Linked DNA regions of Nothobranchius furzeri. The protein of the gene in region 2 binds, or shares a complex with, the protein of the main gene of each other region. Links are inferred from orthologs where the notes say so. Each region holds a gene or a part of one and is shown on either strand. Other genes may lie near its edges.

Region 1 (4,191 bases), on a different chromosome or scaffold from region 2:
TTTATTTATGGATTTTTTTTCTTCTTTCAAATTTTCAAGTACACTTCAGGTATTTTACTTGTACTATTTTGGATACACTGTCCTCAGGCTACAGCCTTGTTTTATATTGATTGTATTAAAACAAAGAAAACCATCTGAAGTTTTTTTTAATTTACCGGTTCGGCCCACTTGGGACTAGATTTCCCTCAATGTGGCCCCTGAGCTAAAATGAGTTTGACACCCCTGGTTTACACGGTCAGCGATTAGTCTTCATGTCATGCACTGGGTACAGACAGCGGTTAGCTGACTTCCGAGGACTCGCGATAGGGAATGGTGGGTCGCTTAGGGACTATCAACAAATTTGTAGTCCTTTGTAAACGAGTACAAAATTGTTTTTAAACTTCCAGAATAATTTCCTAAATGACTCAAAATTACTTCTGACATGTGTTACTAAACTACATTTACAAGACACAACAGTTTTAACACATTTCACTCAATCTGATCTTTTTTATTAGGATTTTATTTCAAAATTAAGGGACTTATAGCGAGTCCTCGGAAATCAGCACATCGCTGTGCTCAGTGCACGGCATAAAGACTTATCGCTAACAGTGTAAACCAATGTCTGTCAAATATCCAACGTCCAAGTTCAAGCTAACTTTACCGCGGTATTTTTCTCCACTTACTTCGAACACACCAAGTGTGTGATAACGTCTCTATGCATGTAGCTCCGTTCGTACATGGCAGCTGATGGGAGGTTATCCAGGTAGACTCGCTCGTATTCTAGGACTGAAGAAATAACCGAACCAGAATTAGCGGGATTTACTGAAAAGTGGATTCGCGCAAACCATTGTGGTAAATTCAGTGTCATTAACCCACCTCTTCGTTTCTTTGTCTTTGATGCTTCATTTGGCATGGGTCCAACCCAGTCTGTACTTTCATCATTTCCATCTTCATCTTGAACATCATCAGCTTTTCGTTTTAACTCCAAACTGTTTTCAACCTCCGCCATTGCTGCACAGCGTCGTGTGGTCCTTTCGTAATTACGGCACTTCCGCTGCGCTCTGAATTTAATTTTGCTCCGTCAGAAACTTAGCGAAATTTATTAGAGATTGTAAATTTTTAAGTAATATTTTAGAATGCACCCTAAATTATAAAACTGGATTATATTTTCGTATTTTAAGTGTAATAGAAGCTTAATGCGGAACTTGTTATTATGCTTTGTTTCTATGGGCCTATTAACGCTGAACATCGTGTGGATTCAACCATTTTCACTTTTAGGGGCTGAGCCTGCGATTGTTTTTGATGTTATGTTGTCGTTAGCGGTTTAGCTGGTTGTTATGAACGTGAAAAAATATTTTCAAAATGAAAACATATAAACATCTTAAATAATTATCATAAACAGCAGAGTATACTAAATAAAAAAGAGTAGTACATCAGGATTCCCCCGTGTTCTCTGAAGTAAACACTGCACTAGCATGGCTGTTGGAGGATAAGTGTGAAATTTGCAACATTCGGGAAAAGTACAAGCAGTTATCAGGATTACTAACCGTTTATCTATTATACATTTTACGTGAGTTGAAGGTATAAAGGTGTTAAAGATTAGAATTTCGTTTTTTTTTCGAAGCACATAAGCAGATTCACCTTCAAAATGAGTAACATATATATCCAGGAACCTCCAACAAGTGGAAAGGTGAGTGCCTTCCTATCTTTTTATTTTGTCTGTATTTACATTAAGAACATGCAGTGTAGCTTTTCCTTGTAAAGTTTATACACATTTCGTTGAAACCAGCTAGTTGTTGATATGTTACCAGCTAGTTGTTGATATGTTGCTAGTAGGAGGTGAACGCGTGTGCCATAGAAGTAGCGGGATGGTAGGAGAAGTTAGCCTGGCAAGCGAGACAAAATAAATATATTATTTGCTTTGCAAACTTCTGTGCAAAAAAAAAAAAACTTTGCAAAGAAAGATTTTGGTCTAGTTCACTAGGCTAGGGAGAAGTAGTTTTATATGTAGATATGTTTTGCTGTGCTGCTTTTCAGGTGCTGATGAAGACCTCAGCAGGGGAAATTGACATCGAGCTGTGGTCCAAGGAGACTCCTAAAGCATGCAGGAACTTTGTGCAGCTGTGCATGGAAGGTAAGGTAGACCGTGCTGTTAAAAAACGGTCCGTGGAGGAAAAATCTGAAATTCAGAAGTTGTGGATGATGCATTCCAAAAAAATACAAGTATCCATATGTACATATTGATATTTACTGCAGTACAGATATCAGTGAACCTCATGTATGTTAAAGGGGGTATATTATCCATTCATCCATCCATCCATTTTCGGCTGCTTATCCGGGGTCGGGTTGTGGGTGCAGCAGTAGGCCCAGACTTCCCTCTCCCCAGCCACTAAGGCCAGCTTCTCCAGGGGAATCCTAGGGAGTTACCTGGCCAGGTGAATGACATTGTCCCTCCAGCATTTCCTGGGTCTTGCTTTAGGTCTTCTCCCGGTTGGACATGCCCGGAAAACCTCACCAGGGAGGTGTCCAGGAGGCATCTTAACTAGATCCTCCTCAACTGGTTCCTCTTGATGTGCAGGAGCAGCAGGTCTGCTCCGAGCCCCTCCCAGATGATCAAGCTCCTCACCCTATCTCTAAGGAAGAGCCCAGCCACCCTGCAGAGAAAACTCATTTAGGGCGCTTTTATCTCCAATCTCATTCTTTCGGTCACTACCCAAAGCTGAAAAGATAAAAACACTTAGTTTTAGTGTCAGTTCATGACCCAGCTCATCTTTCTCAAACAGGAAGCTACGTTTTTAAAACCTTTGTTTTGGCGTCAGACTCCGGCTGCAGGTCTCCTTTTCTCGTCTTCCAGCTAAACAGCGGAGCTGTCAGCTGGTCATTCATCCTTCTCCTCCTTTATACACAAGAACCCACTAAACTACAGAGAAGTAACAATCTGTCACAGATCGCTGCTATATAACTTTTGCCGTGAATTCTGTTTCAATGCTCCGCAGATCCGCTCCATGTGACAGCTCACACCCGCTGTCACAGAGCTTCCTCTGTCCACAATTTATCTGATGGTCTAAAAAAGGTAGTTTAATTATTTTAGTATAACTCTGGTTTAACTTGTTCTATTAACAGAAATAAAAACTGGTGGGTATTGAAACTGAAGCTCAGAGAGGCGGAGTCTTGCTGCTGCGGCGTCCCAAAAGGTGTGTTTTCATTGGTCGGTTGCAGACAGGAGTCCCAGGTTTTCAAGCATGCTTGAAGACTTTTTTAAGCTGATTTGGTCGTGAGACGGCTCAAAAAGTTGTCGCAGAGCCGGCCACACTGTATTTTTTTTTGTCACGATTCTGCTCAGGACTAGGAATTTGGCAAAGACAGCCGAAAATCATACAGTGTGATCTGGGCGTAAGGGTATAAAGCTGGTCCAGTAGGCACATTTTGTCAGAGTGGGCATGGGCGGAGTTTCACTGTCTCTCAGAGAGACGAGACGCTGGACGCTCTCCTGAGCCGACAACCCGCTCCTGCAGCTGTCGCTTCTGTCACGTTGGGCGAACCATCGGACACGCCACTCGTCACAGATGAAGCTGAACATTCACCTCTCCCTTCAGTAAGACAAGCAGTAAGTGTAGCAACACAGTGTTCTCCAAATATACAATATCTGAAAAAATGATTAAAGTTGTTTTACTGAATATCCTAATCATCTATGAAGCACACGACAGCTCTGGATGCTAAAATTCTCCTAAACAATTCATAATTGAATAAGTTTGACCACGCGACAGCTTACCGTTAACTTCTGCGGACAAAAATATGAGCTCTTAACAACAAACACTCTCCCTTTCGGTTCCCATGGAGACGCATTTGCAGCACACACACCACTGCTTTTGTCCTGCTCTCGCTTCATCCCGCCCTTCTTGCTCTTCATTTTGATGCTCGTTTTGTGAAACATAATCAGTGATGTCATCATTAATGTTTCGCTCTGGTTCAAATAGAAAAGGCTGAACAGACGACATGTCGATGTCGCTTAACAGTCACTACAGGGTCCCAAAGCCGGCCGGTGCAACCGAGGTACAACCGTATGACGTCACCACCCAGAGTGCATTGTGACGCTAACAACAATCGCGAACTACGAGTTAAACTATTTTTTACAAATTTTATAAAAATGAAGACATTAAAAAGGTTTTTTACACCACTTAAATATAACTGATACTAACATTTATCTTTTAA
Region 2 (4,130 bases):
AAAATGTCAGGATTATTCCAGATAGGTGTGCGTCTGCATGGTACTAGTGAAGACTCTGTCATTTTTAGATACTCCCACCATGCTGTCAGAGAGGTGCTGATACTAATACTTTTGAAGCCTTCGTGTTTTCTTATGCTTGAGCTAATAAATGGTAAGTCTGAAAGTTCTATCGTATTGCAAAGTATCTGTTCTATATCTAACCAGGACTCATCTAGTGGGTTATCTTGCAACCATCTTGGTATATATTGCAGCCTGTTGGCTAAGAAATAATAATAAAAGTTGGGTAAGTCCAGTCCTCCTCTGTCTTTGGTCTTCTGAAGTGTTTTAAAGCTAATTCGTGGAGGTTTATCCTGCCAAAGGAATTTAGTAATTGAGGAGTCCAGAGATTTAAACCAGTCAGCTGGTGGTTTGTTTGGGATCATCGAGAATAAGTAATTTATTCTGGGTAAGACCATCTTTTTAATTGTAGCAACCCTCCCCATGAGTGATATCGGTAAGGATTTCCATCTTGCAAGATCATCTTTCACTTTCTTTAAAAGTGGGATGTAGTTCAGTTTGGTTAGATCTGCCAGCTTGGGAGAGAAATTAATTCCCCGGTATGTAATATTCCCTGACTCCAATTGTGTATTAAGCAAATTGACAAAAGAGAAATTAATTGGTAGAACTATGGATTTTAACCAGTTTATAGAGTAATCTGAAACTCTTGAAAAAGAGTTTATCAGTTCTATTGAATGGGAGAGAGAGGATTGAGAATTCTGGAGAAAGAGTAAAACATCATCTGCATAAAGACTGATCTTATGTTCTATTTTCTTACACTCTCTATTCTGTTGTTTGATTCTTACAAGTCACAAGTAGTTTTATATTCCTTCATAAAAAGTCAGCAATAAATATTTATTTCCTGATTTTTCAACCACTTGCTAGAGCAAATTATCCCTGATCAGCTTGAATATGCTACATTTCTGCAGAAAATAAAAATGGAGATGTTGGAATATTTTACTTTACAATTTTCAGTATTAACTAATGTTAGCTTATGGTAACTTACACTAAAATATATCCTTAATAAATGAAAGATGAGTACGAGACAGATTTTATGACACGAAGTGGTTTAATGTTCTTGTTGTAGTTCTTCCTATGACCACCGGAAGGCAGTAAGCGCCATGACCTCCTCTACTTCACTCTGTTCTTCCGCTGTTTCCATGTGACGTATTTCCGTTTTTCCCATTGCGTGTTGCAAGCTAAGCTAATAAACGCAAAAATGTGTTGAATTTGTTGACAAATAGAGCCGTAAATACATTAATATCCATGGCTATGGGCTGCCGACTGTTTCCGTTAAGTGCTCTTACAGAAAACTCTTAGATAAATGACGACGTAACTCTCAGTTTTTTTACTTTCAGGCGGATATTTTCATCCCAATAACGTTGCATGAGCGATTTTAAAAAGCGGTAAGTGAATCTAGTGTTTTATTTGTGAGAAACCGTTTTTATAATAAAGTTTTTCATAACAAAAGTCTTTATGAAACCAAAATAACACAGTGGCTGCTCAAATGAAAGGGTCAACTCGACTACTGGATAAATTAGGGAAAGATTGACTGGATAATCAAAACAAAGTAAACGTTTCATAATAGCTTTACGTAAATGGAGTTCAGGTTGGACAAGTACAACTTTGATTTTATTCATTGATCCAGATGTAAGAAAAACTTCTAAACAATTATTTAATACAAGTTGGGAGATTCAAGCTTTCTCAAAAATATCCTAAAAGCTGATCTTCTTTAGAAATCAGCTATAGGTGGTGATCAGAAACACATTCAGCTGAAGCGCTGATAATAAAAAAGGACAACTGGACATTTTCCCCTGTGCATGAACTCACCATCACTAATTCACTCCAGCTATGATTTCCTAAACTTGCACGTTTTTGCCTCCAGAATCATAATTCTGAAGTTATTAAAATAAATTATTAAAATGTTTTAGATTTATCGCACAGTGAGGGCAGGTCAGAGCTGAACAAAAATCAGACTTGGGTATCGACCCCAAAAGCAGAATCAGTGTAAACGTTTATCACGAAAAGATAAAAAAGAAAACAAACCTTTAAAGCTAAAATCACCCATTTAAATGTGTCTTTGCCCTTGTCTAGCAAGTTTATACTGACTCAGACTTGATACTGATGCCACCACAAAAACACAGAAACTCACATTTTTATGCGTTACTCTTATTTCAAAGCTGGAATCTTTGCAATGTATTATTGTTAAATGTAAAATAAGATCAGACACATAAACAATAACATAAGAGCAGCCAGCTGCTTCATTCGCTAACATCAGAATTAACTAATCAACTGTGTTGGTGCTGAGGTTCAGAATCGTTATTAATATTGATTATTTTAGTAAATATTATAATTTCATATCAGCTTTGTTACAAGTAAATTTAGTCATTTTTAAAGTTTTACAGAATCTGAGATTTTATTTGGTTTTAAATCTTCTGTCCTTCCTTCTTTCTTTAAATCTGTTCTTGGTTTGATGTAGTTTGACAGATTTGACCTTTGCCCTTGATCGATGTTAGAAAAGATGTGATGATGGTTTGGGTCGTGATGAATTCCTATTTTTCTCTCTGGTCATCTTAAAATCACATCAGCACCTCTCATATGTTTTAGCATGCGGGTCATTGTGATCTAAACCAGGTGCTGCCATGAAGGGCAGAGAGGGTTCATAAGATCTACGTTCAAATTCTGTCATAAATAATAAAAGTCTGATTTATTTAGGTCATTTTTACTCACACTCTAAACATTTGCACCACTTCACCTGAATTAAAGCCACCTGCTCCTCCCTCGGCAGGCGCCATGGCAAATTTGGAGCAGTGGGTGAACGACCGGCTGCATGACATCCTGGGGTTGAGCGATCGATACGTCCCTCAGTTCATGATCGGCCTTGCTCGGAAAGCGTCAAGCTCTGAGGACTTTGTGAGTCGCCTGGAGCAGACGGGGACCATCGACATCGATCAGACTGTGACAGCGTTCGCGAAGGAGCTTTATGAAAAGGTTTTTATAAAATAGTGCTCGCGGAACCTCGTGTAGAGGCTCGTGTGCTGATCTTTCTCTGCTGTGTTCCAGATTCCCCGTCAGCAGGCTGTCGAGAAGCCGTCCAAGGCAATAGAGCGACAGGCTATCGAAATGGAGAGGAAGAATCGGACGTACACGTTGTTGGAGGACAGTGACAGCGAGAGCGACGAAGTGGCTGCAAGGGAAAAACAGAAAGGAAAGAAGAAAAGTAAAGAGAAAGACAGAGGAAACCAGAAAAGGAACATCAGACAGAAGAAAGACTCGTCGAGTGAAGATGAAACTCTTCAAAGGTTATTTATTCGTTTATTTAGGCTGAGCAAAAACAAAGATAGTCAAGGCAACAAGGCTGGACTGAAAACGGGAGAAAAATCAGCCAAAGAGTAAAGAAAACATTTAAAAAGGTCGAAGAGCAGCTGATCCAGAACCACAGAACATTCTTCATCTCTACGATGTTTTAAATGAGGATCCAAGCTCAGGAACATGAACCTTCATCCTGGTTTGTTGTTTCTGATTTCAGGGGCGATTCTTTCCAGGAGGACCGAACGTCTGTTAAAAGAGAAGATGATGAGGAAGAGGAGTGGGAGAAGGAGGAGAGGGTACGGCTGGAGGACATCAAGGAGAGAGACGCATTTGCTCAGAGGGTGAAAGAGAAGGACAAAGAAAAGACCCGAAACATCGCCGAGCGGACGGACAAGAAGGTGGGAGGAGGAGGATGGCAGCATCCCGACCCGTTGTTTTATTTGTCATCTTCATCCGGTGGAAAATTTTCCTGCTGTGTTTCTCCTGCAGGCTTACGAAGAAGCTCAGAAGCGTCTGAAGATGGCTGAAGATGGTCAGAAGAACATGGTTGGTGCTCGTGTCCCGATCTCCTCCAGCTGCCGAGTTCACGGTGACTGTGTGACTTTTCTGCTTGCAGCTGCCAGAGTTGAGGAAACAATCTCGTCGGGAATATTTGAAGAAGAGGGAGGCTGAGAAGCTGGAAGACCTGGAGGCTGAGATCCGAGACGAGGAGTACCTATTCTCCGCGGATGAACGGACTGAGAGGGAGAAGAAGGATCTGGAACACAAACGCACCGTCTGGG

What was found.
Region 1: dhx16 (region 2) and cwc27 share a complex: the UniProt entries of both Homo sapiens proteins name them as parts of the minor spliceosome. The link is inferred for Nothobranchius furzeri from reciprocal best matches to the Homo sapiens genes DHX16 and CWC27.

What each region holds. Positions count from the first base shown.
Region 1 is NC_091746.1:63,257,026-63,261,216, reverse strand, and holds the start of cwc27 (spliceosome-associated protein CWC27 homolog), read left to right. Parts: upstream 1-1,316; 5' UTR 1,317-1,627; coding exon 1,628-1,669; intron 1,670-2,016; coding exon 2,017-2,113; intron 2,114-4,191. Other genes in the region: ppwd1 (peptidylprolyl isomerase domain and WD repeat-containing protein 1), read right to left, coding at 663-765, 856-988. UniProt on the Homo sapiens protein: As part of the spliceosome, plays a role in pre-mRNA splicing. Probable inactive PPIase with no peptidyl-prolyl cis-trans isomerase activity. As a component of the minor spliceosome, involved in the splicing of U12-type introns in pre-mRNAs.
Region 2 is NC_091745.1:60,403,096-60,407,225, forward strand, and holds the start of dhx16 (pre-mRNA-splicing factor ATP-dependent RNA helicase DHX16), read left to right. Parts: upstream 1-1,224; 5' UTR 1,225-1,442; intron 1,443-2,824; 5' UTR 2,825-2,829; coding exon 2,830-3,027; intron 3,028-3,099; coding exon 3,100-3,338; intron 3,339-3,565; coding exon 3,566-3,746; intron 3,747-3,837; coding exon 3,838-3,894; intron 3,895-3,964; coding exon 3,965-4,130. UniProt on the Homo sapiens protein: Required for pre-mRNA splicing as a component of the spliceosome. Contributes to pre-mRNA splicing after spliceosome formation and prior to the first transesterification reaction.